7 linked regions of the Nothobranchius furzeri genome follow. The protein of the gene in region 4 interacts with the protein of the main gene of each other region in a pairwise test. Links are inferred from orthologs where the notes say so. Each region holds a gene or a part of one and is shown on either strand. Other genes may lie near its edges. The genes, in order: per1b, sf1, pom121, RNA-binding protein with multiple splicing, fbxl18, ammecr1 and dazap2.

Evidence for each region.
Region 1: the proteins of RNA-binding protein with multiple splicing (region 4) and per1b interact in a two-hybrid assay, tested with the Homo sapiens proteins (2 studies listed by BioGRID). The link is inferred for Nothobranchius furzeri from reciprocal best matches to the Homo sapiens genes RBPMS and PER1.
Region 2: the proteins of RNA-binding protein with multiple splicing (region 4) and sf1 interact in a two-hybrid assay, tested with the Homo sapiens proteins (3 studies listed by BioGRID and IntAct). The link is inferred for Nothobranchius furzeri from reciprocal best matches to the Homo sapiens genes RBPMS and SF1.
Region 3: the proteins of RNA-binding protein with multiple splicing (region 4) and pom121 interact in binary tests that used the Homo sapiens proteins (3 or more experiments, as listed by UniProt). The two-hybrid records come from large-scale screens. The link is inferred for Nothobranchius furzeri from reciprocal best matches to the Homo sapiens genes RBPMS and POM121.
Region 5: the proteins of RNA-binding protein with multiple splicing (region 4) and fbxl18 interact in a two-hybrid assay, tested with the Homo sapiens proteins (2 studies listed by BioGRID). The two-hybrid records come from large-scale screens. The link is inferred for Nothobranchius furzeri from reciprocal best matches to the Homo sapiens genes RBPMS and FBXL18.
Region 6: the proteins of RNA-binding protein with multiple splicing (region 4) and ammecr1 interact in binary tests that used the Homo sapiens proteins (3 or more experiments, as listed by UniProt). The two-hybrid records come from large-scale screens. The link is inferred for Nothobranchius furzeri from reciprocal best matches to the Homo sapiens genes RBPMS and AMMECR1.
Region 7: the proteins of RNA-binding protein with multiple splicing (region 4) and dazap2 interact in binary tests that used the Homo sapiens proteins (3 or more experiments, as listed by UniProt). The two-hybrid records come from large-scale screens. The link is inferred for Nothobranchius furzeri from reciprocal best matches to the Homo sapiens genes RBPMS and DAZAP2.

What each region holds. Positions count from the first base shown.
Region 1 is NC_091742.1:55,047,132-55,050,631, reverse strand, and holds part of per1b (period circadian protein homolog 1b), read left to right. Parts: intron 1-271; coding exon 272-350; intron 351-509; coding exon 510-616; intron 617-749; coding exon 750-903; intron 904-993; coding exon 994-1,261; intron 1,262-1,352; coding exon 1,353-1,461; intron 1,462-1,549; coding exon 1,550-1,709; intron 1,710-1,984; coding exon 1,985-2,103; intron 2,104-2,276; coding exon 2,277-2,423; intron 2,424-3,500. UniProt on the Homo sapiens protein: Transcriptional repressor which forms a core component of the circadian clock.
Region 2 is NC_091743.1:88,306,302-88,310,255, reverse strand, and holds the start of sf1 (splicing factor 1), read left to right. Parts: upstream 1-1,154; 5' UTR 1,155-1,339; coding exon 1,340-1,598; intron 1,599-3,954. UniProt on the Homo sapiens protein: Necessary for the ATP-dependent first step of spliceosome assembly. Binds to the intron branch point sequence (BPS) 5'-UACUAAC-3' of the pre-mRNA. May act as transcription repressor.
Region 3 is NC_091750.1:52,615,023-52,619,125, reverse strand, and holds the start of pom121 (nuclear envelope pore membrane protein POM 121), read left to right. Parts: upstream 1-1,303; 5' UTR 1,304-1,436; coding exon 1,437-2,002; intron 2,003-2,482; coding exon 2,483-2,689; intron 2,690-2,846; coding exon 2,847-2,996; intron 2,997-3,089; coding exon 3,090-3,170; intron 3,171-3,255; coding exon 3,256-3,427; intron 3,428-3,509; coding exon 3,510-3,598; intron 3,599-3,677; coding exon 3,678-3,757; intron 3,758-3,855; coding exon 3,856-3,977; intron 3,978-4,050; coding exon 4,051-4,103. Other genes in the region: polyubiquitin-C, read left to right, coding at 1-23. UniProt on the Homo sapiens protein: Essential component of the nuclear pore complex (NPC). The repeat-containing domain may be involved in anchoring components of the pore complex to the pore membrane. When overexpressed in cells induces the formation of cytoplasmic annulate lamellae (AL).
Region 4 is NC_091742.1:66,831,331-66,834,830, forward strand, and holds part of RNA-binding protein with multiple splicing, read left to right. Parts: intron 1-1,588; coding exon 1,589-1,716; intron 1,717-3,500.
Region 5 is NC_091744.1:14,834,120-14,838,409, forward strand, and holds the start of fbxl18 (F-box/LRR-repeat protein 18), read left to right. Parts: upstream 1-1,490; 5' UTR 1,491-1,634; coding exon 1,635-1,655; intron 1,656-2,101; coding exon 2,102-2,296; intron 2,297-2,377; coding exon 2,378-2,727; intron 2,728-2,927; coding exon 2,928-3,063; intron 3,064-3,147; coding exon 3,148-4,226; intron 4,227-4,290. UniProt on the Homo sapiens protein: Substrate-recognition component of the SCF (SKP1-CUL1-F-box protein)-type E3 ubiquitin ligase complex.
Region 6 is NC_091750.1:52,185,808-52,190,009, forward strand, and holds the start of ammecr1 (nuclear protein AMMECR1), read right to left. Parts: upstream 2,801-4,202; 5' UTR 2,657-2,800; coding exon 2,184-2,656; intron 1-2,183.
Region 7 is NC_091755.1:37,294,029-37,297,957, reverse strand, and holds the start of dazap2 (DAZ-associated protein 2), read left to right. Parts: upstream 1-1,129; 5' UTR 1,130-1,280; coding exon 1,281-1,293; intron 1,294-3,203; coding exon 3,204-3,322; intron 3,323-3,416; coding exon 3,417-3,665; intron 3,666-3,747; coding exon 3,748-3,876; 3' UTR 3,877-3,929. UniProt on the Homo sapiens protein: In unstressed cells, promotes SIAH1-mediated polyubiquitination and degradation of the serine/threonine-protein kinase HIPK2, probably by acting as a loading factor that potentiates complex formation between HIPK2 and ubiquitin ligase SIAH1.

The sequences.
Region 1 (3,500 bases), about 12 Mb from region 4:
GCAGGCTGCACAACGAGTCTGAGCTGGTCAGAATACAGCGACTAGCTCACAGAGGGAGACTAAACGAGTTGTGTGGACTAAACTCTGGTTTCAGCGCTCAGAGGTCCAACGTGCCCTGATACAGAATGTAACAGGTGGACAAACGGTTGGTCCTTCTGACACAGATCCGGTGTGAAGAACCAGATTCTTCAGCGTTCACATCACAAACGCACCACTTCATTAACTCGGTTTCCCAGAATGCTTTTACACTAGTCTCCTCTGTGTCCATCAGCTCCTCGCATCCCCCCAGACAAGAGGATCTTCACCACAAGTCACACGCCCAGCTGCCTCTTTCAAGAGGTGGACGAGAGGTCAGAGACACCATTTAGCTATTTTTAGATTTTATTGTGATTTTTGAGCATTTAAAGGTTTAATTGTTGAGTCTGAGAAACTGTCGGTCCTTCCCGTTACGTCCGTTTTTACCCAGTGGTGTAAAAGTCACATTTCTGGTTTATTAAACTTGTTTTCAGGGCCGTGCCATTGCTGGGCTACCTGCCCCAGGACCTGGTGGGAACCCCCATCCTACTCTCCATCCACCCGGAGGACAGGCCCATGATGGTGGCCATCCATGAGAAGAGTGAGTTGCAGATTGTCTTTCAACAGAAACAAAAAAACATTCCCAACACGTGTTAAAAGCGAATCCCAGAAGGATTCTTGGCTGTAAAGTTGTTGTTTTTGTACATTTAGTTGTTTCTGTCGTCTGTTTCCAGTCTTTCAGTTTGCAGGGCAGCCGTTCGATTACTCGCCCCTCAGGATGTGCGCTCGCAGCGGGGAGTACCTGACCATTGACACCAGCTGGTCGTCCTTCGTCAACCCCTGGAGCAGAAAGGTGGCGTTTGTCGTGGGACGGCACAAAGTCAGAACGTGAGCCTGTTGTCTGATTTTCTTTTTGCCGTGTTCGCACATTTCCTCTGGTGCGTCGCTAATGTTGCCATCCCCTCACCGGGCCTTCAGGAGTCCTCTGAACGAGGACGTGTTCACCACCCCAATGGGCTTCGAGAACAGGGTGACCACGCCCGACATCGTCCAGCTGAGCGAGCGGATCCACCGGCTCCTGGTGCAGCCGGTGCACAGCGGTGGCTCTCAGGGCTACAGCTCGCTGGGCTCCAGCGGCTCGCGGGGCTCCCGCCAGCAGCACCTCAGCGCCTCCGCCACGTCATCCAGCGATAGCAACAGCCCCGCCGTGGACGACGTCGCCGCCACGGTTGCGTCGCACAAACCCGTGAGTCTGATCCATGTTTGGAATTTTTACACCGTAAATATCACCAAATCCTTCAGGCGTGAAGTTACTTGGGTTTCTCGTTTCCCACCAGATGACGTTCCAGCAGATCTGCAAAGACGTTCACATGGTGAAGACCAACGGGCAGCAGGTTTTCATAGAGTCTCGGAATCGCCCACCTCCTCGAAAGAACGCCTGCGCAGGTGACCTGGAAGGCTTGTCTGGTTAGATGGAAGAAACCTAGATGTTAGGCCCCTCATTTTAAATGTTCCTCTCTGTTCTCCCGTCGAGGTGCAGCCGGGATCGGAGCCATCGGCGACGACCCAATCAGAGGTCTGATAGCAGACATGACTCAGCCTCCCAAAGCCTTGGTTCCTGCTCCGCTTGTGCAGAAGGAACCTTCCACAGGATACTCCTACCAGCAGATCAACTGTCTGGACAGCATCATCAGGTGTGTGTGTGTGTGTGTGTGTGTGTGTGTGTGTGTGTGTGTGTGTGTGTGTGTGTGTGTGTGTGTGTGTGTGTGTGTGTGTGTGTGTGTGTGTGTGTGTGTGTGTGTGTGTGTGTGTGTGTGTGTGCAGATGTTAAAGCAACTCTAAATAAGTTCTCCACTTCTCCCTAGGTTAGATTTCTGGATCAAGAATCACTTAAACCCATTTGAAAGCAGCATCCTGAACTTCCTGGTGCTGGTTTAAGAATTCCACTCACCCTGTCGTCTTATTACAGATACTTGGAGGGCTGTAACATTCCAAACACCATCAAAAGGAAGTGTGGCTCCTCCTCCTGCACCGCCTCCTCCACCTCTGATGACGACAGACAGCCTGATGGCAGCGGCAACAGCAAAGGTACCTTTCATACGAGACTAGCCAGCTATTTTACTAATATTTAACACAAGTAGAAGCGGGAGAACCCAACTCTCTGCTCATTCAGCCCAGATGTGCGAGTCAGACTCATGAGTTTTACATCTGTTCGATGACCCGGTTGCTAACGTGTTTCTGTGACCATGATCTCTCTTCAGGTGGTTCAGTTAACCTCGTAGGTGAACCACCTCCTCTGCCTCCTCTGACCATGGCCTCGAAGGCAGAGAGCGTAGCCTCAGTTACGTCTCAGTGTAGCTTCAGCAGCACCATCGTCCATGTAGGAGACAAGAAGCCTCCAGAGTCAGGTGGGCACCGTCAAGCACCCTCACTCTCCGCAGATCTGTGATGGGAACACGTCAAGATCCCTGGACTTCTCTTTTGTTCTTATCTGATGTTTTTCTACTTGTAGAACTATTTCAGACTCTTTGAAGTTGGTTTTTGAACATTTAGCCTCTTACCCAAGAGAAATGGTGTCATTCTAACCAGATTTACAAGCAAACAGCTGGTCGCTACAAGTTCACACATTTCACAGCAGAACATGCCAGCTCTGTTTAGCAAATGGGTTAAAACTCTTGTAAATTTTTACATAGAATGCTGCTGAAATAGTTGGAAGCAGTGCTGTTTCCTTTTTCTTGACTTTAGTAGTTTCTAAATGATCTTCAGGAAATATAAAATCAAACTGTAGCAAATGAGGATTTGTTTTTCATCTTAGATTATTAGCTCATACTTTCTACTCTTCATATTTAAGTATTTTTTTCCCTTTAAATGTAGTTTTACAGTGAAAGTGACCTTATTTATATACATTCACATGTGGTTGATTTACAGTCAAAACCTTAAATTTCTCTAAGAAGTAGAAAAATGCAAGTTTTTAAAACGTTAAGAATATTTTCAAACATTCAGAGTAAAAAATTTTAAGTTGAACAAGTTAAAAACATTTTTAAAAAAGGAAATGGCTTAAAAAGTAACGCATTACAAAACGTTTTCCAAAGGAAAAGCTAAAGGTTAGCATTTTTTTGAGAAAATTAAAAAAGTTAGTTCGAAAAGTGAATAAGTAAGAAAAAGTTTTTAAAAGTTTTTTTTAAAGGCAACATTGAAAAATATTAGTTTTCAAGTGGAAAAAAGCTACATTTCATCAAATGAAAAAAAGGTTAAGTCAGTGATTTAAAAGTTAACAAGCCTTAAACATTTTGGGGAAAAAAATGAAATGTCTTAAAAGTAACACATTACAAAAATGTTTTGAAAAAAAAAACGAAGTTTAGCAAATTTTGGCGAAAATTTTTTAAACAAATATTTGAAAGCGAACAAGTAAAAAATTTCTAATTTTTTAGAGGAAAAAAAAAGCAGATTAACAAGGAACATTAAAAAAACAGGACAGCTTAAAA
Region 2 (3,954 bases), on a different chromosome or scaffold from region 4:
CTTTCATGAGTCTCCTCGTGGTGGTTCTTGAAGCGCTGACTCCAGCTGCAGTCCACTCTTTGTGGATCTCCCCCACATTTTTGAATGGGTTTGTCGTCACAATTCTCTGCAGGGTGCGGTTATCCCTAGAGCTTGTACACTTTTTTCTACCACATTTTTTCCGTCCCTTCGCCTGTCTGTTAATGTGCTTGGACACAGAGCTCTGCGAACAGCCAGCTTCTTTAGCAATCACCTTTTGTGTCTTGCCCTCCTTGTGCAAGGTGTCAATGATTGTCTTTTGGACAGCTGTTAAGTCAGAAGTCTTCCCCATGATTGTGGTGCCTTCAAAACAAGACTGAGGGACCTTTTAAAGGCCTTTGCAGGTGTTTTGAGTAAATCAGCTGATTAGAGTGGCAGCAGGTGTCTTCTATATTCAGCCTTTTCAGAATATTCTAATTTTTTGAGATACCAAATTTGGAGTTTTCATTAGTTGTCACTTATGAATATCAAATTTAAATGTAATGAACATTGGAAATACATTGGTCTGTGTGCATTGCATGAATATAATGTACAAGTTTCACGTTTTGAATGGAATTACTGAAATATTTTCAACCTTTTGATGATATTCTAATTTACTGGCCAGCACCTGTAGATTGTCAAGAGGAACTTTTTTTTTTTGTCATTTCATGTACAGAACAACAAAGGCAAACGTAATTCAGTTCAATTGACATCAGAGCAGGTAAACAAAATAACACGAAACAAAGAAAAATATAACATTGAGATTTGTTAACCTAGGGGTTATTGTACATTGCTAGGAAGATTACACAGTACTTCATATATAAACTCAGTAATTATCTTTAATAAATTGAAGGGATTATAGATACCTAAGTCGGATATGAACACGTTAAAGTTAGGGGATACATTATGTATTCTTTGTTTATGTATGAACACAAGACAGAGGACTAAGTTGTAGCATAGTTCTTTGTCCTTGTCTTGAAGTAGAGGAAAGTGTTCGTAGATTGTTCTCGATTTCAGCATTGCTGATTTCACACAGGGGGAGGGTAAAGCCGTTTCCTGATTATAGATTGGTTAAAATACAACGAACTGGAAGCCAGTTGGACCAATCCATTTGATCCATTTCGGAAGGTGATTTAGCACTTGAGCCAATAGGAAGACATGTTACTTGAACGTGACATCAGAAGCCTCAATGCTCAACCTTTGTCGTTTCTGTTGGGCGCCATTTTGGGAGAAGTTTCAGAAAACAAGCTGCGGTGACTTTTCTCTGACAGATTAATTACATTTAAATAAAAACTCGTTGATATAACGTTCGCGTGGCAAAAGCCATTTCAGTTTATTGAAAATGGCGACTGGAGCAAACGCAACCCCCCTTGGTAAGCTTCACCCTAGCATCGGTGCTAAGCGAGGCTTTGACGCCGGGCCTGGTGCGGGCAACGGGCTGATGCCGACTCCTGGACCGCCCGGATCGTTTCCGTCTCTGCAGGGTTACCAACCTTCCATGCCAACCACACCATTTCCTCAACCACATCAGTTCAACCCAGGGGCAGGTTATTCGACCCTGGTTCAACAGCAGTCAGTTGTAGGATCCGGAATGTCTGCGGGTAAGTTAGTCAAACATCCGCTAACGGCGCTAGCTCAACACGCGTTAGCGTCAGGTTGTGGGCCTGCATGGAACTCTCGACGCGAAATGGAGTCCCCATTCCTGCGGGTAGCGACAAAACAGCCATAAAAACGTGAACACAACAATACATTTGCTTCTATCGTTTAAGTTGACAATATCTTGCATGTTTTAACAACCAAGTCAAAAGTAGCGCGTTAACGTAATGCAGGGTTTTGTTTTACTTGTCGGTGTTTCTCATCTTTCCCCCCTAATCTAGGATGACCATATTTTGATTTCCCAAAAAGAGGACACATGGCTAGATCATGACAAACTTTAATATAACGATAAGAAAACTTTTAAGATAAGGCACGCCTTCTCTGTGTGGTGAAATAAATGTCAGACGTCAGACAGGCTTTCACAAGTGAACAAGTATACTAAATTTCTCATAAACCTCTTGCAATAAATAACGATAAAGCGTAATCCATAAGAAAATGTACTTGTAACCAAACAATAGTTCTACAGGATGTATGAGCAAACTCCAGAAATATTTTACTAAATGCATTTTCTATTGTTTCTTCTCCACTTAATAATAAAAAGCAGTAGTCATTTGAAAAAAACAATTAACATCAAAAGTCCATAGTTTTTTTCATCCTGTTTATTGTCTTCATCTTCTATGCTGTGGAGCAGATCTTTCTCAGGGGCAAAAGAGGACGTATGGTCCCCCTTCCCTAATCTGCGGTTTCTTCAGGCAATGTTATTACTGAAGAGATCTTCTGTCGCGTTGAAACGGGCGGTTGTGCAATTAATTTTGTGTAAATGTATCTGTTTACTCACTCAACTATGTGATTCAGCAAAATCTAATCTGGTAAACGATACTATTAGGGCTGCAACTAACGATTATTTTTCATAATTGATTAATCTGTCGATAATTTTTATCGATTAATCGGTTTGTTATTGTTTAGCTATTTAACCTATACAAGTGATGAATACATTTCAGTTAAGAAAAAGAAAAACATAGGAGAATTATGCAGTTGACTGCAATCGATTTTATTGCACATGAACACAGTCAGCGGTGTAAAATAAGCTAAACAGTGAAAAATATCAGTCCTGAATAATTTTTTGGCATCAAAATATAAGCGGTAAATTCCATGAAAAATTATGTAGAATCTAGAATAGAGTTTGTAAGTGGTATGCATTGCTGGGGGGGGGTGAGTGTCTTGTTCCCCATGTAGTTGTCCATCGTTGCTTGTTTTTTTCTGCATAAGAAACACAAATAGACTGAAATAAGTACACATATAAAATAAAGCAGCACACACACTACAACACTAAATCAATATTATATTATTTGAATTAACAATATACAGTGATCATTTATTTTGATAAAAATGCGTTGTGAGGCGTTTTACAGCGTTAGATAGTAAAACAGCCTTTTAATAGCCTTGAAGCTAAAGCTGAAATAATGGCCAAAGGAGGAGACGGCAGCGCTCAGGAGGACATTTATTATCCCTCAAAGAAGACAAAGTGGGAAGTACGGGCATGTTTTCGATATCTGAAGAATGCCGAGGGACAGTTGATAGAAGACTGCTATCCTGTTTGCAGCACGTGCAGAAAAAGTGTCTGTGAAAGGCAGCAACGCTTCAAATCTCATGACACATCTGCGTGACCATCACCCACAACTCTACAGTCAACGCAAGGCAAGCTAACGTTAGCGTTTTAGCTAAAATGCGTGATCCGAGGATTTGGGTTGAGGGAGAACGCAACGAGTCGCTATATAAAGCAGCTGCAGCGCCGCTACCTGCATATAAACCGTGTCGCGGACACCCCCCATGTTGAAATGACGCTATGCATTACGGGGCTCCCAGGGGCGGATAAGAGTTGGTCTCTCTCTGAGAATAATTATGAATTTAACAATGATTACTGCCTGATGACATTTTCCCACATCTGCAAAGCTCACTGGAAGGACACAAACCGAGGACGATATTTTCCTGATATAGGGTTTATTACTCAAGTAAGGGTAAAAAAGTATCTGATTAGAAGGCTACTTGAGTACTGAGTATCATCTGGTCTAATATTTTTAAATGATGACATCAAACAGACAAAATAAGAAGTTATGGGCAAATATTGGTATTTTAAAGACTAAAGGGAAAAATATAAACAAATAAACAACATAATTACAAAATAACACATTTTAGGCAAAATTTAGACACAAACTGAGGACAATATTTCCTGACATACAGGGTTTATTTAATTGTGTGAAAATGTAACACGTTTAAAAAAACTTCCGTGATAATACCGAAAACCGTGGTAATTTTGGTCACAATAACCGTGAGGTTAAATTTTCACACCGTGACAACCCT
Region 3 (4,103 bases), on a different chromosome or scaffold from region 4:
TGCGTCTGAGGGGTGGGCAGTAAAGTCATGGTTCCACAGTTGGTTTCATTTGCCATGTAATGCTTGGAAATTAAAAGTTACATTTGTTTTTAACTTGTGACCAAAAATGTTCCGTTATCACAATAAAAGGTTAAATTTGCTTTTGCTTTCATTTGAAATGTTTTACAAAAATTGTTCAGCAGTTTCCCCTGAAGCCAATTAAACAGACTTCTAAAAGTTGCAGAATAGACCAATTTTAGATGGCAACATGTAAACGGTGTTAACAAAAAAAAATCTGCCACAATTGCCTTCAAAATTAAATCTCAAACTTAATTCCAAATCCCACTAGATCTCCACACTAACAGCTCATAAATATCAAATGCATGTAAAACTTAATGTTAGCATATTTTGAGGGCAGATCTGAGCTTTCAGAAGGAAGTATATGTATTTGTGGTTACAGCAAATAATTCAGACTTATCTATCTTTGAAATTGTTTCACAAGCAGGGAAGAGTCATCAAAACATGTTTGTGAAACCTAACGTTTAATTTAAAGCGAAGGTTACAATACTGGGATAAAGATGGAGCATTACCCTTGTCTTGGCATCAATGCACTGCTACCTGCTTGCTTTAGTATCCAGTATAAGGTACTTTAAAATCTATGCATGGCCTTAGGGCCTTACTCAACATTACTTTTGAGCTGCTGCTGTTCTACTCCTGTGGGTCTAAGGTCAGCTGATGAGATGGATGCTCCTGGAAGTCCCAAGAATGAGACCTAGCCTCTGAGGTGGGGGCTTTTAGTGTAGTCTGGAATGTGCTGCCTTTAAATATTAGGTTGGCATCATCGCTGTCTTGTTTTAAATCTCTTTTGAAACCCCTTTTTTATGGCTTTTAACTCCGCATGAGTCTTTTACTTTTAAGAGTAACATCTAAATTAACTTTTTTGTCTGTAGATGTGTAATCAGTGTGGCAATTTGGTGCAACTTTAAATTTAATTTCGGCCCAAAACTTTATATCTCCATCTTCAGGTTAAAAACTGCTCCACATTTATTTAGAATCAGCCACAGCTGATGGCTAAGCTGAAAAACGTGACATTGTCAGCAAATCACCACGTGGCTGCAGTGCACTGGTCTCCAGCTGAGGTAGCCGCACCTCCACCTGGCTCAACCACTCACCTGCCGATGTGACAAGTTGGCGCTCGGAGCCGCTTGCCCCATGCCTCCTTGAAAAAAACGCCCTCCTCTCCTTTTTCATCTAATGATCGCGGTTAACAGGAAACCCTCCAGAATGCTGCAGAATCTGAGTCTGCTATTTCCCTGAGCGGTAAGTCTGCTGTGAGTGTGTGCTTGCGTGCATAGGCGAGTGTGCACGGTGACGTGTGGATTGATGGTGTAGTTCGCTCCTGTGCTCGGTAGGGAGCGCTGCCGCGCGAGCAGTTGGATAGAGCAGCAGCATGTTGAATGCGAGAGAGGCGGCGCGCTACCGCCATGTCACCTAGGGAGAAACAGTTAGCGCTTCTCTCTGTTTTAGGATTAATCACCTTCGCTTTTTACTACATCCCCACTTTTCTGTACGCTACTTTAATTTTTGCAGCTTGTTGTTTTGCTTTTTATTATCACAGCGGAGAATCGTTTCCCGCCAGGTTAGGCCCGAATCCTCGGGTTGGATTAAACGTTTCGGGCGTGCTGCGGCGCTGGTCGTCGGGTTGGACAGCGACCGGCGTCTCGGTGGCCGCGCGGAGTAGAACGAAGAACCGCAACCGATCCGAGCACCATCACCGGGAGACAGAGGGACTCCCGAAGCTCAGTAAAACCGGGCTCTGTCGAGGAGAAGCCTTAGCAAGTGACTCGATTCTTTTCAGCCCTCGGGATTTTCTCATGGGGAGTTACATCGGGAAAGCCGAAAGTCCAGCGGCCGTCTCTGGGAGGCCAAAAGCCGGGAGAAATCCCCGGGAGCAACTGCGAGAACAACTGTCCAGACCCAACCATGCAGTTTATACCCCGAACAGGAGGCTTTCGTTCTCTGGGTGAGTTAATTAGGTTTATTAAGCTCTGATCCATCTGTTTAAATTCACGTGTTGCATGAAAAAGAAATGTTTATAGCGTTAGCTAGCTTGTTAGCACACAAAACCCACATGTTTGAAACGTATAAAGCTCTAACCAGAACTCTTTAACTTGGAATCGTTTTAAAAACATCCAATAACTTTGTTTCATTGGCTTCTTTTACTCATGCTTTTAGCTAAGTTACTGTGATAAATCTTTTGTTTTGATGGCTTGTTGTGTCTACACGCTTGTGTTGTCTAAAAACTAACAGAGCATTTTACTAACTTTTCGTTAAAGTGCATATCTTTACTTTTTGGTTAGGATGAGCAGCATAGTTTCTTTTTCTATGCAGCTGCATGTTTCACATGTAAAGTGATTGTTTTATATTGTTTTATTTCTATTCCATAACATCTGTACGTTTTAACCTGCTGAAGTTGTTCCTTCCATTACAATCTCCTCTGCAGGGAGCCTCTGGGTGCAGCTAACAGGTTCACCATCACCCCCCAGCGTCGCTACCCCCTTCAGCAGCCTGGAGTCTCCTCAGTAGGAGTCCTGCCTCCTGTCAAGTGGGATGGTTTCAGAAAAAAGAACATCCTGAGTCCTCGAAATTCCCCTGCTGCTCTCAGTCCCGTCACTGTAAAGATCGCCAGGCCCGACCACAACATTCCCAGGTCTCTGCAGGTTAAATGTTTTTGGGCACGACCGTTTATTTTTAATTTTTAATTTTTTGTCTTTTAATTTACTATTTGGATAGCCCTTGATTTGTTGCTTGAGGTCTTGCTACTTTCAGCCGAATCAGTGCTGACTGTCCTCTGCTCTGGTTTTTAGTGTGAATCATCTGAGTTGTGCAGGGCTCACCAGGGTCCCGGCAGACCCCTGCTCCAGAGAGAGCGTCCTCAAGGTGTTGAAGGAAAGCCGCAAGAGGGAAGTAGAGGATGAGGACAGGAGCTTCACCGCTGAGCAAAGAAGCAAAAGAAGGTAGAAAATTTGTTTAATAGATTCTTGAGGTACTGTCTGCTCAGTCTGGACAATAGCAGCTGTCTTATGGTTTCTTTTTATGGCTTTTCTTAGGCGCAATGACAGCGGTGGAAGTTCGCACTCTGCTTTTGAGCCTCTGTTGCCTAATGGAGCACCATCCCAGCTGGTCCCTAAGTGAGTAAGAATTGTATGTAAAGCTGAATCATAATCTTAGATGTTGGACAAAGCTTTAAATGTTGTTTTTATTAATGTTCTCCAGACCAGGGAGCCTAAAAAGAGGGATGACCGCATCCTTAGACGAGACCACCATGAAGAGGTCTCGCACCTCCTCCATCAGCTCTAGTTCTGGAGTTCATGCCCCGAGAGGAACTTCGGGTACCAGAAGAAATGCAATCCAAAGCTCCTACAGCTCTTCGATAGGTTTTAGTCAGGTATCTTCATCTACCGGAGTCTAGTAAAGGGGGTTTTTGCATAGCAAAAGCAAATCGAAGCATTTTTTGTTTTTCTTTACAGTGGAAGAAACCATCTGCACCCAGCTCTCCTCTATCGAGCCCTGAATCGTCTCGCTCTCAGACTCCAGAGGGATTTGCCAAAAGACCCAGGTCTGTTTCTGCATGTTTGTCATCATTAAACCACATTTAACTACAAATTAAAGCTTTTTTTATGTTTTCTAATCAACAGAGAGGATGACACTCAGTCTCCAAGCTCTGCATCCTCAGTGAAGTCGGACCACACTGCATCAGACAAGACCCTTGATACCAGTAATTCCCATTTATCTGTAGATGACTTTTCCAATTTAGATGATTCATGTTCAAAGTATGGTCACAAACAAATATGATGTTGTTTCATAATATTGCAGTAAAACAAACTCCGGTGATCAAATCCCCAGTCACAACCTCTGCAGACTCGACTGGAAGTGGTGGGAAGAGAAAACGGAAGATCCAGCTGGTGTCCAGCCACCGAGATGATCGCATCTCTCTGGTGAGGAGCGCTGATCTCCCTCACATTTGTTTATTTGCATCCAGATTGCATTATTGTGGTTGTTCATGTGCAGCCTCCACCTCCTGAGCTGGGCTACACCATCACAGCCAAAGATCTAGACGAAGA
Region 4 (3,500 bases):
TAGCTGCTGCTGCTAGCCTGTAAAGCTTTCAGTTAATGCGTTGAAGGTAAGCAAATTAGAGTCACAAAGATGTTTTTTCCAACAAAGATTGAAGAAATTTGGGAAATTACAAGTCAGACTGAAGTAAGCTTTTAATTTGACTCAATAGCCATCCAAATACTAGCTTGGCAAGCTGTACTATATTTGTAAATGTATAGTATGGCCATGACCCATATGCAGCTCAGTCATGGGGCAGAAACTACTGTTTTCTTTCAAACTGTCTGCATGCAATTGGACAGCGCTAGGACCAATCAGAGCAACAAACAACATGATGGATTCATAGCAGCATAAATCAGACAACGAGGCCGTCCGCCATACACCGTAGAAGAAGAAGAAATATATTTCTGCTCATGTCTCAAAAAGGAACCCAAGTCTAAATCATACAAAGTTGATGCCAAAGCCATTTCAAATGAGCACCGTTGCTGGGCAGTGGTCATCTAAGCTGTAGAGTGTTGTGATTGGCCGAATCTACACTACACCAAGCCAATGGTAGGCTTGCTGAAGCTACAATGGAGCGTGGCCAAACCAACCTGCAGAGCAAACGTTTTTGTTGTCGCTACAGTTTGTCTAGAGCGCTAGGCTATCCAACCACAGCAGTTGCAAGCCACCAAGTTATTGCTAGCATCATTAGCTAACTCTAGTTTAAAAATATTTTAATGGTCTAACAAGTTATTGATCAGTATCCCCATCTAGGTAAGTTGCAATACTGCTATGTAACCATGACAACCATCTCAGCTGGGTGTAACTGGAGGTGCAAACGCACCGGTCACAGCACCTAGCTTAATTTTGGAAAGCAAAAGATTAAAATGAACACTTTAAGCACATTTCTAACAATAATTATTGTAAGGTCTTTTATTCATCCTATGAGCTACAGACTCTAAAGTAGACCAGCGGTTAAATTCAGGGCATACATTTTACAACAAATTTAAGATAGTCAAAACATAGCAACATATTTATGTTTTGGTGATATTAAATAGCTTATCTTATTGTATCATACACACATTATGCATGGATATCATAACAATATACTAAACATTCCTACTTCTTTATATTTTGTTAACAATAATTACAAAAAATAGTTTATTTTTCTTTGATATTTATCTCTGGAAAATACAAGGTCACACAGCTTTTCCTAACTGGGTTTACTGGAGGGTAGCTCTCCCTGCACTACTGGTGTGTGTGGGGACATGGGCTTACAGGAAACTGGTTTGGGCTTCAGAGCAGTACTCTATTGGGAAAGGCAGGATGTTTTAGCTTCTTCAGCTAAATGTTTTTACTCATCTTTATCATGACTTTAATGCTTTTATCGTAAAAAGACAATGAGGGAAACATGAGCAGGAATCTTTACAGGCTTGCTGTCAGCTGATCAGACATTTTTGGGCTTTGGTTTAAAGAATCACGATAAGAGGATTCAACTTCAGATACTTAATAGTCCCTCCCAGTGCGCACCTCCACAATCACCACCATCACTGCCACCTCCACCCTGCCTCTCTATCCACCCACCCATTCACTTGCCACTCTCCTCACTCCACTCCTCTTCTTTCCACAGATGAGCTCACAGTGCCTGCTCTATATCCCAGCAGCCCAGATGTGTGGGCGTCATACCCGCTGTACCCGGCAGAGCTGTCGCCAGCCCTTCCACCCGCTTTCACCTACCCCTCCTCGCTCCACGCTCAGGTAACCAACACCACCTGTTCCCCATTACCAGCCGTCGCTGCTCCTTCACCACCACCCAGTCAGCCCTCTGATCCCGCTCCATTATTTTTGGTTCTTATCTACACAGAGTAGCAAAGCTTTGTTTTTATTTTCGCCTACGTTATGTTGTAGGTGTCACTTCCCTTGCTGTTTTTCTGCGATCAGTAGAGGATGCCAGAAAGCCAGGTGGCAGCACGGCTTAGCTCCCTCAGGAGAAAGGAACAGCCAGGATATCGGAGAAGCCGGGTACCCTCCCTGTTGGGCTGTCTCCGGGAGGATGGAACAACAGATTATCAGATCTCTGATTGTCGGTCCGTCACTTTTAAAGGGATGGGCATGTTACTGAAACTCAGCAAACCTCTTCTGCAGCGGCGACCTAGCAGATCTTTGACCATGGTGTAACCAGCGAAGCGCGGAAGCCTCCGCTAGCTAGCCTCGGTCAACTTACCTTGCTCATGTTTCGTTACCCAGCCAGCCTCAACAACACGTTATAGTTCAACCCATCTTTGAGCAAACAGTGCTATGCGCTAGCTCTGATGCTCACGCTACCTGTCAATCAAATGTAATTATTTATAATTTCAAGCGTTTAATTACACCTAAAATGGAAGAGTGACAAAAAAATTCACCCATGAGTGTAAACTGGATCTATTAAACCTAAAATGGGTTTATGAACCAGGCGGTAAACATGTTTATTTCTGCTGTGAAGTTGGCATTTTTAACATGGGAGTCAATGAGGATTTCTCTGTTTTTGTTCCAGCACCTACCAGATGAGGGTTGAACTGCAATATTTGTCACTTCCGCGTTGACTTCATGTATTTGAAAAAATGACTGCCCCTTGAGATAAAAAAGCCTTTTAGAGCCCTAACAAGGAACAATTTTAAGATTTTTAGAAGAAATTAAACAGTACTTTTAAAACGTAATGTAAACCCAATTCTAAAAAACTAACTTGTTGTAAATGTTTTTTTAATTCAATTCATAAAATAAAATAGTAATCCAACTAAATCTAATAGTTACTTATTCACACCTCATAATCTAGAAACACAGCTACAGATTCAATTCAGTAATTTATATAGCGCCATCAAGGCACTTTGCAAAGCAAACATTCCAATTGAACATAATCAGCAGTGGCGGCTGAATTTTATTTTGGGTGTGGCACAGAAATGCCATCTGTTAGATGCGATATCCACATATCACCACTAGGGGATGCCAGTTTACCATTCTTATGATAGATTCCATGTTTTCTACCTCAGCAATGACAATAAAAAGGAAGGCTGAAAAGTAGCTAAATACACATATTGAGAAAAACACACAGTAGCAACAATAAGACATGATCCTGTCCTCAGAAGCAGCCATTTAAATTAAAGCCCAGTTTCTCCTCTTTGCAACAATATAAGCACCATCACTCTACCTGCAACAGTCCCGGAACTCAGCAGCAAAACAAACTAAGCTAATCTCATGAAGTTAAAAGCGTAAATTCTGTCTCACGTTTGCTGATTTTTGGCCATAATAATCTGTGGTATAGTAAAAAAAAACTACTTGATTCTGTAATCCAATGTCCCAACATCACACAGAGCAGGTGAATGTGCTTTTTTTTTACCCGCTGGAAAGATTTTATAACTCTCTGATGCCTCATTCCATCATTTTCTGGTTCCTCATAATAACAAAACTCCACGAGGTGTACTCAGCTGCTCTACAAGGACGGTGAACTGTGGAGAATTTCCGGTTCTGTCCTGATCTGAGCTGAGACTCTGCCCTGCCGGTCTTCT
Region 5 (4,290 bases), on a different chromosome or scaffold from region 4:
CTTTGACGGAGATTCATTCTTTGGCACAAAAGATGGATGCCATCAAGGAGAGAGTGGACGAATCAGCACGGATTGGGATAGATTAACATCCATTATTGGGATTCTGAGAGGTTGAGGACCAACAAACTGTAAGATAGAGAAGAAGTTATCTCTGTCTGGCCCCAAAACAATTTCTAATTGGAATCTGGCGTCCTTGAGCCTGTGAGGCTCCAACAAACCCCCCCCCCCCCCCCCCCCTCAGAAGATACGTGGAATGTATCGTCGCTATGGCAACTCAACTCTACCTCCTTTCCCAGCCTGGGCGGGACAGCAGGAAGGCCGCTGAAGCATCCAGGGTCACTGCAACCCTCCAACCCTTAATGCCCCCCCACCCACCCCCCCACCCCCATGCGCTGCTTCATCGTGGCTGCAGGAACTGAAGTTGGGATAGTCCATACCCACCACCCCACCTAGTGAACACTTATGTTGTGTTGTCTGAAGTCTGTTGCATATCTCTGTCTGAGGTGTTTTTTTTTTTGCAGCGCAATGCTGCCTTCCCGGTAGAGGGTAAAGCTTGGTCCGCGAGGTCCGTGCGGCGAAATTGCGTCATTTTAACAACCACGCCCCTCCACCGCGCCTCCGCACGGCCCAAAATTCCGCACTGCACACCTAGGAAAATTTCTAACCACCCGGACGGTCGGATGTGGAAAAACATGGCGGACCGGCAAGATCTAGTAAGGCAGAGGTTCGTAACTACAGACATTTGTATGATTCAGCTCTCAGAGATCACCGTGATCAACATGTTGTTAATATTTCTTGGAGAGAAGCTCGCACTGTTGGAAAAGACGAGAACGCTGTTTAAAACTGCTGGAATGCCATGTTGTAAACAACAGTAATTTTTACTTCTACTATGGTGTAGTGTTGGATGCATGCTGTAGAGCTCCATGCAGCCCCGTTCAGTTTGAGAGAATATTGGCTCACCGCAGAGACGAGCCGCACGAACCATAAACGCTGCGAGTTGTGAAGCGCGTTCCATCCGCGAGCCGCATCACCAAGTGGAAAGTGAATGCGTCAAGCATAAACCAACCTTAACTTTGAAGTGCCTTTTTTTCCCTCCACCTGAACCAGTACTCATGTAACCCTCTTATCTCTATTAAGGTAGTGTGACTCAGGGTTGCGAATGACCACAATCACCAATTCTTGTCATGTGTCTTGCCCATGTATGTCTGATCTCAGAATTGTGTGTACTGAAACTCTAATTTCCCTCTGGGATTAATAAAGTATCTTTGATTTGATTTGAGATGACTTAAAACGCAAAGGTTAATAAAAATATACGGATTCGTGACCAGGTAAAACAAATCTTTGTTTCACTGTTTGTGCGTTCATTTGTGAAAACCTGCTGTGTCTACAACACAGATGTTTTTTTATTTTTATTTTTTTTCCTGGATTAACAGGAAGTAAGTCCGTAGGGGTAATCGTTCCGTGACTTCCGTCATGTGCAGTGCAGCGGTAAAATCCTTCCGTCTAGGTGTTTCGTGGTCAGCAACCTGTGGTTCAGACGTAAAAGCGAAATTTTTATTTATCGAAACACCTGTTAGGTGAAGGTCTCCTGTTTAGAAATCTTAGATAAGGCTTTGGAGAGAGCGACAAAGGAAATGGATGGACAGATTTTGCAAGTAGGTGTTGCGCCAAACCTCTACGCGACGGATTTTACTTGGTTACCGCGGAACATAAAAAAAATGATGTAAATTTTATCGCTAAAGCGAACATTGTTGCTAACTTTTTTACTCTAACATCTTCCGTCTGTCATCTAATTGCCCTGCGTATGGTCTCAGAAAGATAGTCCCAGTCCTTAGCACTATGAAACAATCAGATATGATTGTAAGCATTTTATTTTATGTTCGTGTCAGAGCTGCCACATTCAATGAAATGAATAAAACATGTTTGTAAATGAACAGGCTACTTGTATCAGCATTTTGTTGCCATTTAGATTGTAATGCTTTTTTGTTTTCTAATTAAAATCATGTACTAAAATGTTACAGAAGTTAAGAAGAATGGCAACGTCTTAAAAAGCTCGAAGATCACCCAAATCACATGCCTGACATCTTTCTGTCGTTCTCAGGCTGTTTTGGACTCAGAGACAGCGTCTCTGTCTGTTGGGATGTCCAACTTGTCTGATGAGATCCTACTGTGTATCCTTCATCACGTTCCAGTGTGTGACCGCCTGACGAATGTTGCAATTGTCTGCCGGAAGTTTTACACACTCTGCCACGACAAAACCCTGCTCTCAAACGTCACGTTGTCTGAAGAATATCTGGTAAAGCTGTTTGATTTCTTTTGATTGGTGCTGATGAGGAATTTTTCATGATTGTCTCATTAACTTTTCATTTTCTTTAAGGCTGATGATCGGTTAGTTCGACACATCCTGAAGAAGCTTGGCAACAGCGTGCTGTCTCTCAGCCTGAACGGTTGCTACTGGCTGTCTGGTTCCACACTGGAGCATTTGGCACGCTGCAGAGCAGTAACACACCTCGATGTGACGGGCTGTCGCATCAGTTATCTCTGTCTGTCGCACCTCCTCTCCTCTCTGTCCTCTCTCAGATCCCTGGCGTTTGATGTGAGACCGTGCTTTAACTCTGCTTTGCTCAGTTCAAAAGCGGTGGACTCGCTGAGCCGCTTGACGGAGCTCAAACAGACGCTCTTAACACCAAGCTATGGTGTTGTGCCATGCTGTGCAAAACTTCGCAAGTAAGGACTTGCAAGACAGATGCTTATATTTAGCTGTTTTTAAGCCATCATCCTTAAATATCTCTTCACCCTAGCTACCATGACTGTCAAGCAACTGGAATGGGATTTACTTATTTGTGAGTTTCTGTTTTAAGCTTCCGGGTTACAGATATAAAGATTTGGTTCTCTGGTGTGTGTGTGTGTGTATGTGTGTGTGATAGGCTAATGCTGCAGTTTGACATCCCAGATGTGACCAGAGAGGGTGTGGGTGTTAGCTGTCAGTTAATGGTTGGTCAGAGCAGTGTACCGCATTACGAACAGCTGGAGGAGTTCACAGCCAGACTGGCTCCAGGAGAGGTGAGTGTGTTAGTAATCATTTAAACAAGACCCAGTCCTGTCTGTAACACTGTACGGGATGTTTCCGTGTCTCGTTGGCTGCAGGTGAACCAGACGCTGCTCCTTCTTTACCTGGCGGTGTTCAGTGTTCACATTCCAAAGAATCTCAGAGTTTTCCTCGTGTCGATTCCCGGTCCAAACCCGGTTCACTGGCCGGCTGCTTCCTCGCTGGCTCAAAGTTTGGGTCAAAGAGGAGACCTGGTGGCTCTGCAGCTCCCTCGATCCTGGTTGGATTCTTTTTCTCTAAAGCGAGCCTTGGAGGGGAACAGCCCCAAGCACCTGAGCTTTAGCCGTTGCCCCGCTCTGTGGCCGCAGGTGTTCCAGTCGCTTCTGAACGGAGGAGTCCGAGATGCCACGGAGCTCATCAGCCTCAACCTCAGCGGCATCAACCACGTTCTTTACTCCGAGTGCAGGAGCGTAGAAGATCAGCTGGTTACTGTGACCCTGAGTCAGCTGGCTGAAGTCTGTTCCAACATTAAGCACCTGAATCTGATGCACACACACTACCATCATGAACACACACTTGCGCTGGATGGAGAAACACACCTGTGTACCAGTTTGGGTCGATTCAAACAGCTGCGCTCTCTCACCCTGCCTGCATGCGCTCTGTCTGACGGTGTGAACACAAATCACATCTCGTCTTGCAGCTCAGCTACCTCCGCGCTGTTTCAGGGACTGAAGAAAGCTCCTCGAGTGGGGCTCCAGAACTACAGACCTGACTCAGAATCCTCTCTCTCAGGAGACAGCACTTCAGGGCTGTCTTCGCTAGTAGCTGGCTGCCCTTTTTTAGAAACCTTAGAGGTTATTGGGCCAGGGTTTGTCTCAGCGCTGCCTCGACTCGAGCCCTGCACTCGTGCCAGCGTGGAGCCTCGTGGTATGTGCGCCTGGGCCAGGGAAGTTGGAGACGCACACTTGGCGGCACTTGAAGCTTTGCCTCAGTTGCGCCGTTTGTCTCTGGCTGGACTTCCTGGAGTTCTCAGAGGAACAGGACTGGTACAACTGGCCAGACGGTGCACAGACTTAAGAGTTTTGTCTTTAGCCAACCTGGGATCTTTGAAAACTATGAATTACTCCCCTGCTCTGCTGGAGACACTGAAACAGTGCACACAGCTGCAGGAACTCAGGTCAGAATATTCCTATAGTGTTCTTTTCCCTTTTAAAAAAAAGTGGTTTATTTTCTATTTTTAA
Region 6 (4,202 bases), on a different chromosome or scaffold from region 4:
TTTCTTTTTATCCGACTTTATCAGGTCTGGTCAAGTTTTTAGTTTGTTTGTTTTGAAACAGAAGAGGCTGAAAACCAGTAACTGAGCAAGAAAATCATTAAAAACTAGGAGCAAAAGAAATCCAGAATAGATAATTGAATTTACCAATTAAAACAATTTACGTTTGTGTAATCAGTTGTATTAAATACCAGCAGAGAAAAGAGAAACACTAGGCTGGATGTACTTTAGCAGCTAATGTTCAAAAGGAACAAAGTTTGATTTTTGGGAAACATTAACAATTTAAAGGCATCAAACTAAAACAAGAAAAATCTCATCACCAAAACCATTCTATCGTGCACCCTTTAATAAAAAACAAAAAAACTAATAACTTCTGTAGGAAAATGCTCCTGCAGATGCATGTATTTAATGATAAAGTGACAAGAAATTATCATTTTCATCTTGTGAACGTGGTTTTTAATTAGTTCTTGCGGAATGTGAACTTGCACAACACACAAGATCACCCGTTTTGCATAATACAGAAAGTGCTTTCCATGTAAATAGTATTCTCCTTTAATTCCTGTAAAAAGTTTACTCTTAGAAACGTGTTTCTTTATTTAGACTTTCGAATTTAAAAAAGGAGCCAATCAATCAAGGTTGCAAAAAAAAAGGTTTAAAAGCTTCTAAATGTGAGTAATGGACCTTTCAGGCACATACGATCACATTACTGTAAGGTGGGGTTTCCGTGGAGGGCGATGGGTGTGCGGTTCCTCCCAAAATATATACGTTTATTGATCTGACGGTAACTTTAACCGTGTCAGAAACATATCAGTTTTAGATGATTAAATGGCCAGACATAGCCGGCTTTGTGCTTGCTTTATTTAACTACCGGTGCCACTAGTCCCTCTTTAACACCGGTTAGATAAGGCAGAGCTTAGAACTGCTAAGCACTTAGCAATTAGCATATTTTCTTTGTTGGTCGATGATAAACTCCGTTAGTTTGTATTAATTCCACGGCAAAACTCACCAACACTGGGTGAAATTAGTAAAAATTAAGTGATACAATTGAACTTTGATGTTGTCATGATATCATTAAGACATTGAACGACTCTATAAATAAACAAAATTCACACTAGTTCGATGCTAGGCTAATACAGCTTACAGCTAACAAAGCTAAGCCTAGTATGTAGAAATCCATGGTTCGTTTAGGGTGATTTACGATCACAAACAACGAAAGTCAACTTTTGCTGTTTAGCTCATACATTCTACATACGAACAGTGTTCTATAGCATTGCATAAAAGCGATGTTATATTATTTCCGTCCTCTTTTCGTTTTAATTTCAGTTGCTAGCGGATATTAGCTAACACTAGTAGCAAACACCGTTAGCTAGGTTTATACCTTAGCCACAGTTTTGCGAGTTAGGACGTCAGTACCATGAATTTATTAATTTATTTCCAAAACTGACGCGTAAAAGAACATAAACTGACCGTATACATCGACATTCATTGACAAAAAACAGTTTTATGTCAGGATCATCTAACATTCAGTGGAGCGTTTTTGTATGGGTTAAGCTGACGTGTTGTGTCAGAAAAGGTACCCCTGTGTGTTCCAACACGTTTTCATAGAGGAAGCTCATGTTGATATATATATTTTAAAAAATATATGTAAAAATCTAAAGTTTACAAGAGTACAAGATCGTCCTCATCAGCTACAGCTATATAAAAAGTATTTATGTTGACATGAAGGCTGCACAGGGTGATTTTCAGACAGGAAACGCTATCAGGAAAAATAGTTTACTGGAAAACAATACCTAAATGTTTTTACATACGAAATAAATATTTGTGCCCTTGACTGCTCCGAAAACCACAAATTTGTACTTTTGATCAATGAAAGTGGCTTAAAATTAGCTTCTTGTGACAATGACTCTTCGCGGTAGGGGTGCTTATTTCGACAAAACACCGGTCTGAGTGCGGTTTCCTCGACTAGGCCCGAGTTCCAAATTGGGCAAAATAGGCTACATTCAGCGAACCCTTTCGAGTAGAATTTGCGAAGACTGACTGTAGTTTCGGTGTGACAATTCATTTTCTGAACCGTGAAGAAAACTTCCAAGGCTAAACTCAACAAGTTCTGTGAAGACAACCTTTGTTAAGACATAACAATGCCATTTTTTCCACACAAAAAAGCAGACAACGACAAAAGTACTTACAAGGGATCATTTGTAAACCTGGGTGTTCTCGGAGGTTGGTATCCATACAGATGGCAATAAAGCACGTCAAAACAGAAGCAGCACATCTCCGCGGAGACAACCATTTTTCTGCCACCACTTCCCGAACCAGGTCCCGGGCTGATGTTCGGGGAGAGGCCGGATGTAGTATAACCGGCCGGGACTGGTGACAGAGCGTTGGTGCCACTGCTGCTACCACTACTGCCGCCGCTAACGTTACCCCCGGGTCCCCCCAGGCCGTTGACTCGGCTCACGTTTGCCGCAGCTGCAACAGCCGCGGAGGAGCCAATCCCCAACTCCGAGCCACAATGTCCGGTTCCTGCCACCCCGCTTCCCACCCCCACCCCGCCGGGACCCCCCGACCCGGGAGATCCCGACAGTTTCTGCTTCTTCACCCCGCAGCACCCGGCCGCCATCTTGGAACAATCTGCACCGACACACCGCTTCCGACCCATAACCGTCACCGCAGGAAGGGTGGGGGGAGACGCCGACCAGACGTAGAAATCCCACTGCGTTGCTACGTACGACGGACAATACTTCACTTTCCCTCTTTTTGTTTTTTATTTATTTATTTTTTGTCAGACGAAGAAAAAATCGACGTGGTGAGAATGCAATGTCACCCTATCGTTGCCTGTGAAAATGCGTGACTCACGCAAAATACATAGGCTATCGGGACAAGCGTTTGTCCCTTCAGTAGTCAGACAGTCGAGAGACGGTGTTCCAGTGGCCACCCCTTCTCTCTAACACCATCCAAAGCGATCTCGGTCAGTTCCCCTTAAACATGCAAGTTTAGGGAGTATCCGGTGTAAGCAGGCCGCAAATGACAGTAGCCAGGCGGTCCAGATGTGAAGCCGAACGCCAGTGCCTCTCCAAGTGGAAGCCGGGAGCTTGCGTATGCAGGACCCATCAGCTTCAGCACAATCTGCGCACAGTGTCTTGGGCAACGTAGCTTCTCATTGCACCAGCTTGTCTGCTACTGCCATATAAACTTCTAATTATACAACAGGCCCAGAATGTAGAGATCCCAGACGCCGGGGTAACGCAGAGGAAAATGGCATCTGACAATGCGGGGTTGGCATGGCACAATAAAAACGCGTCAGCGCCGAACAAGTAATTTCAGTACCGTTAGCCCAGTCTGCACCTGCATCATGACTGCACTTAAACCTGGTTATAAATCTCAATACCACCCCCGCGTCAAACGGAGAGCTGAAAGTTTTCAGCACGGGTTTGTTGGGAGGCTGTCATCCGCTCATGTAGACAGACAGAAGAGCGTTCTAGTCCGTGGACCGTGTGAAATCCGCTGGGTCTGGCAACCCTTCCTCCGCCGCCGCCTGTCAGCTGCTACAGTTCTGTGCTGGTCGGGTAAAAGCCCCTACGATCAGGCAGTGGACACAGGCATCTGTGCTGTCGGCACGCCGGAACCGGATTCAGGAAATGTTCTGCGCCCGGTTGCTACCGTAGACTTTTTTTTTTTTTTTTTTTTTTTTTTTTTTTTTTTTTTTAGAAAAGGTAACATACAAACAAAATGCACCTTACATTATATATTCAAAAGATAATCATTACATGCATATTCAACATTTTCATGTATATGAAAGAGAAAACAATAGAAAACGAAAATCTAAAGCTGGGGTCATCTAATTAATAGATTATTAACTTACTAACTCAAAATCTTCTACAAAGGAAATAAACAAACCAGCCTTTTTCTTTTTAACTAAATTCAAAGATTTAACTAATAATTTTAAGTCATTTTTCCAATAGGCTAGTGTTGGTTTGGTCTTAAAAAATCGACATTTATGTATAAACTGTTTACACAAAATTAATAACACATTAACACCATAACTAACTTTCTTTTCTTTCAAAAACACTCCAAACATTATCATATTTAAGGTAAATGGGGAAATTTGAATCCCACTAGAACAAAGCCAGGCATGAAAATCTAACCAAAATATTTGTATAAAATTGCACAAAAAAAATAGATGGTCTAAGTCCTCCTCTTCTGTT
Region 7 (3,929 bases), on a different chromosome or scaffold from region 4:
GGGTGGCATGTGCTACCCCAGGCCACTCCCTGGACACGCCTCTGACCAAAACAAAGTAATTCGTGTGCGATCGTTTATATCAGTCCATATTCTCTGGTACTTCATGTACTTTTCAGCTGACTTCATAATCTGTGCCCCGGTGATTTCAACTTATTGCTGCTGGAGCGCAACGAATATTAAGCTTTTTTTAAAAAAATGTTTATTTTATTTTTTTGTGGGTTTGGTAGATCCCTTTGGCTGATTAGTTAGAAAGTAAGAAATTTAGGGAACAGTTTTTCTGGAAGACGGAGAAAACATGCAGCATGCAGGAAGGTTAGAGAGAAAAAGGGCAGGAAATTATTCAAATAAAATCAAGAAAACAAAACAAAGTGCTTCAAAAGAAAAAAGTAGGTAGATTTATCCCCAATACACATTTTTACCAGTGAAAAGCAATAATATATAAGCATTTAATATTTATACATGTGATAGAATCAGATCACCCCAGAAGTCAGTCCCACATCCAGGGCCATATCAAGGCATTTGGGGACCAAGGCAAATATAGGCTTGGAGCCCCCACCATGCTCAGTTAATATAAGATGGCAGCGTGCTGAGAGTACAGATTGTTGTTGCTTTTATTTAATAAACAATAATTTTAAAGCACTGTTATTATATCTGACTGTTTTTAACAGCAACCCTAGCTAGCTCAGACACATCGACATACATATATGGACAATGGGTTTCCATAGACTTGCTCTTGCATTGTGGGGGCTTGCTCAGACACCACATCACTTTCCACATATATGTCATGAGCTCACTGAGCGTCAGATTACCAGATTCATATTGAAGTTGTATTGTTGAAAGTAACTTAAAGTAGTTCAAAAGTAGTTTAATGCCTTACATTTTAAAATCAGTAATATTGTAATGTAATGAATTACTTTAAAATGAGGGTAACAAGTAATAGATAATGCATTACAGTATTGAAGTAACTTGCCCAACACTGATTGTAGTACGCACTTAAGTATTAATTTCATTTTACGTTTAGCTAATATTTAGGGTTTTTTGTGCTTTTCATATTCCTTTAAAAACAAATCTCATTTCCTCCAGAAGGGGGCGCGCGCGTGCAGGTGAAACTGAGCGTGCGTCCGACCGCAGATAAAGAACGGGTGACGTAACCACTTCCACAACAACAAGAAGCTGAGAAACAAGGAAGTGTCAAGCCGTAAGCTATTATAAGGCCGAGACAAGATACACAAAGCGCCGTTTAATCTGATGTTCCTCAGCCTCCGAATCAGTCCACAACAATGAATAACAAAGGTATTTCTCCGTCGTGTGTTTCATTTTCCAGCTAGCTACTCGTTACTTGACGTTGGCGTTGTAAGGAAAGACGAGGAGCTCGCGTTGTGGCCAACTGAAGCTACGTACATAACAATAAACTGACGCACACTCCGAACCAAGCTGTCTTGGATATTGCTAACGTCGGATGTCCGAATTTAGTTTCACATTTTGTTATTTGACCAAAACGGGCCGGTCAGATGTGTTCCAGCAAGCTAACGTGATTATAAAAGCAAATCTGACATGGCTTTCCTGTTTTTGTTGGGGAGGGGGGGAGTTCTTGTTAACAAAGAACATCCCGGTTACATTTATGTTTTTAGACCTGTTCGGCGCAAAAATGCACCAGGTTGTTTATTTCTTCTTTTGTTTGTCTTATTTGAGCTTAGATTGTCTTTTTGTAGCATGACATCTTTGTTCGTGGCTAATGCTAATGACATTTCATGATATTTTTCTTACTGAATTAATTGTTTCACTAAAGCTAAAATAGAAGCAGACATTTTATTCAAACTGTAATGCGCGATGGTCGATTTGTCATGTTGGAAAGACAAAGAAAATGTAAAATTCACATTTGTTTACTAACCACCAGGCTTTTGTGCGTTGTGTTAATCAGATTCGGCTTTATAATAAAATCTTCCATTTACATTTTATTAATTTCTAATCCGTTCACTTGTGTTTTTACAAGTAATACATTTTTACCCTTTGCTTATACTGTCTGGGCTGAGAAAAGTGATTATGTCTAGTTTCCTGGTATTGTTTGCCATACAATGCACTCAAAACAAAACTAGAAACTCTCTTGGCAGTGACAGACTTGCTACAGTCATCACATAGTTTGTTATAATTATGCACAACAGTTTCAGTTGCTTAAATAAATCCCCCCTGATGATATTAAATAACATGTTTCCATCAATATTTAAACATTGTTCTTTCTTTTACTGCCGCCAAATGTTGGACCTAAAGACACTTTGTGTCAAAATCTGGTTTTTGTTCTTTTGTCTGTAAAATGTAGAAACGTTCAAAGTTGTACCCGAAAAAGACCAACGTTAGCTTCAGTATACAAGACATTGGGATTTTCTGTAACGTGTACCACTCAGTAGTTGCGTTCACATCAGTAATAATTTCATGTATTTAGCTGTAAATGTAATCAGCTCCCTCCCATCTCCACTCAGAAGCAGCATCAGTTTATTTATGATGATGATGATGATTGAGAAGAAGTACTTGCAGCTTAATGTTAGTAGTCAAAGTCATTAGTAATAATCAGGGATGTGTATTTTTGTAATTCTGGCGATACGATACATATCACGATACAGGGGAGACGATACGATGTATCCTGATATATTGCGATACATTCAGTCAGACGTTACAAGCTATTTTTTACTGAATTTATTATAAGCATGTTCAATAAACAGTCAAAACTGATATGTAACATGTTTAACATGAGGTATCTGAACCATGATGGAGGGATTTACAGTTCAATGGTGGAAACAAAACCCGTTGCACACTGCTGCCAACTAGCGGGTGGCGATTGAATTGCACAAAACGAAAAGAAAATACACAAATGTTTGCATGTTTGCATTCTTTCAAGAATTAGATACACGGCTTTTGAATATCAATGTAATAATCACAGGGAAAAATATCACGATATATTGCCATATCGATATTTCCTATATGCGGCTTTTGAATATCGATATAATATTGCTGGAAAAATATCGCGATATATTGCCATATCGATATTTCTGATACACAGCTTTTGAATATCGATATAATATTGCTGCGAAAAATATCACGATATATTGCCATATCGATATTTTCTTACATCCCTAGTAATAATGAAACGGTTCTCATCCCATAATTCTTCAGCTGTGCGTGTTTAAAAGTGAAATGTTGTTTTGCAGGCTCATACCCACAGCAGGCTGTGTACCCTCAGCAGAGCTCTGCACCTGTATACCCTCCTGCTATGCAAATGTCTCCTCAGGCACCTCCATACTCAGACACACCACCTGCATATTCTGAGGTAACGCTTGCATCTACAGGTCAAGCCTAGATTAGCTTTTTTTTTTTTTTTAGTATTCTTCAATTAAATCTGTTTCTCGTGTCTTTGTATGCAGATATACCAGCCCAGATACGTGCTTCCACCTCAGGTGCCTGGTCAGGTGCCTCAGATGTCCTCTCCCTACCCTGGTGCTCAGGTGTACATGCCCATGCAGCCACACATGCCCGTTGGTCCGGTGGGCCAGAACGTTCCCATGGCTTACTATCACATGGGAGCTGTTTACCCCCCTGGTTCAACAGTGATGGTGGACGGTGGCTTTGATGCTGGAGCTCGTTTCACAGCTGGCAGCAGTGTTTCCATCCCAGTGAGTACGGAGTGACTTAACCTGTAGCCAAGGCCTTTGTAACTCTTAACCTGCCACTGAGCTCGTTTCTCCTCTTCTCTAGCCCCCACCCCCTGGACACCCCCCTAATGCAGCTCAGCTGGCTGCCATGCAGGGTGCCAATGTTGTCATGACACAGCGCAAGAACAACTTCTTCCTGGGCGGATCCAGTGGAGGTTATACCATCTGGTAACAGCAGCTACTCCCCTCCTTGTTTATGCCTAAACCGTACCCCCGTCCCAGATG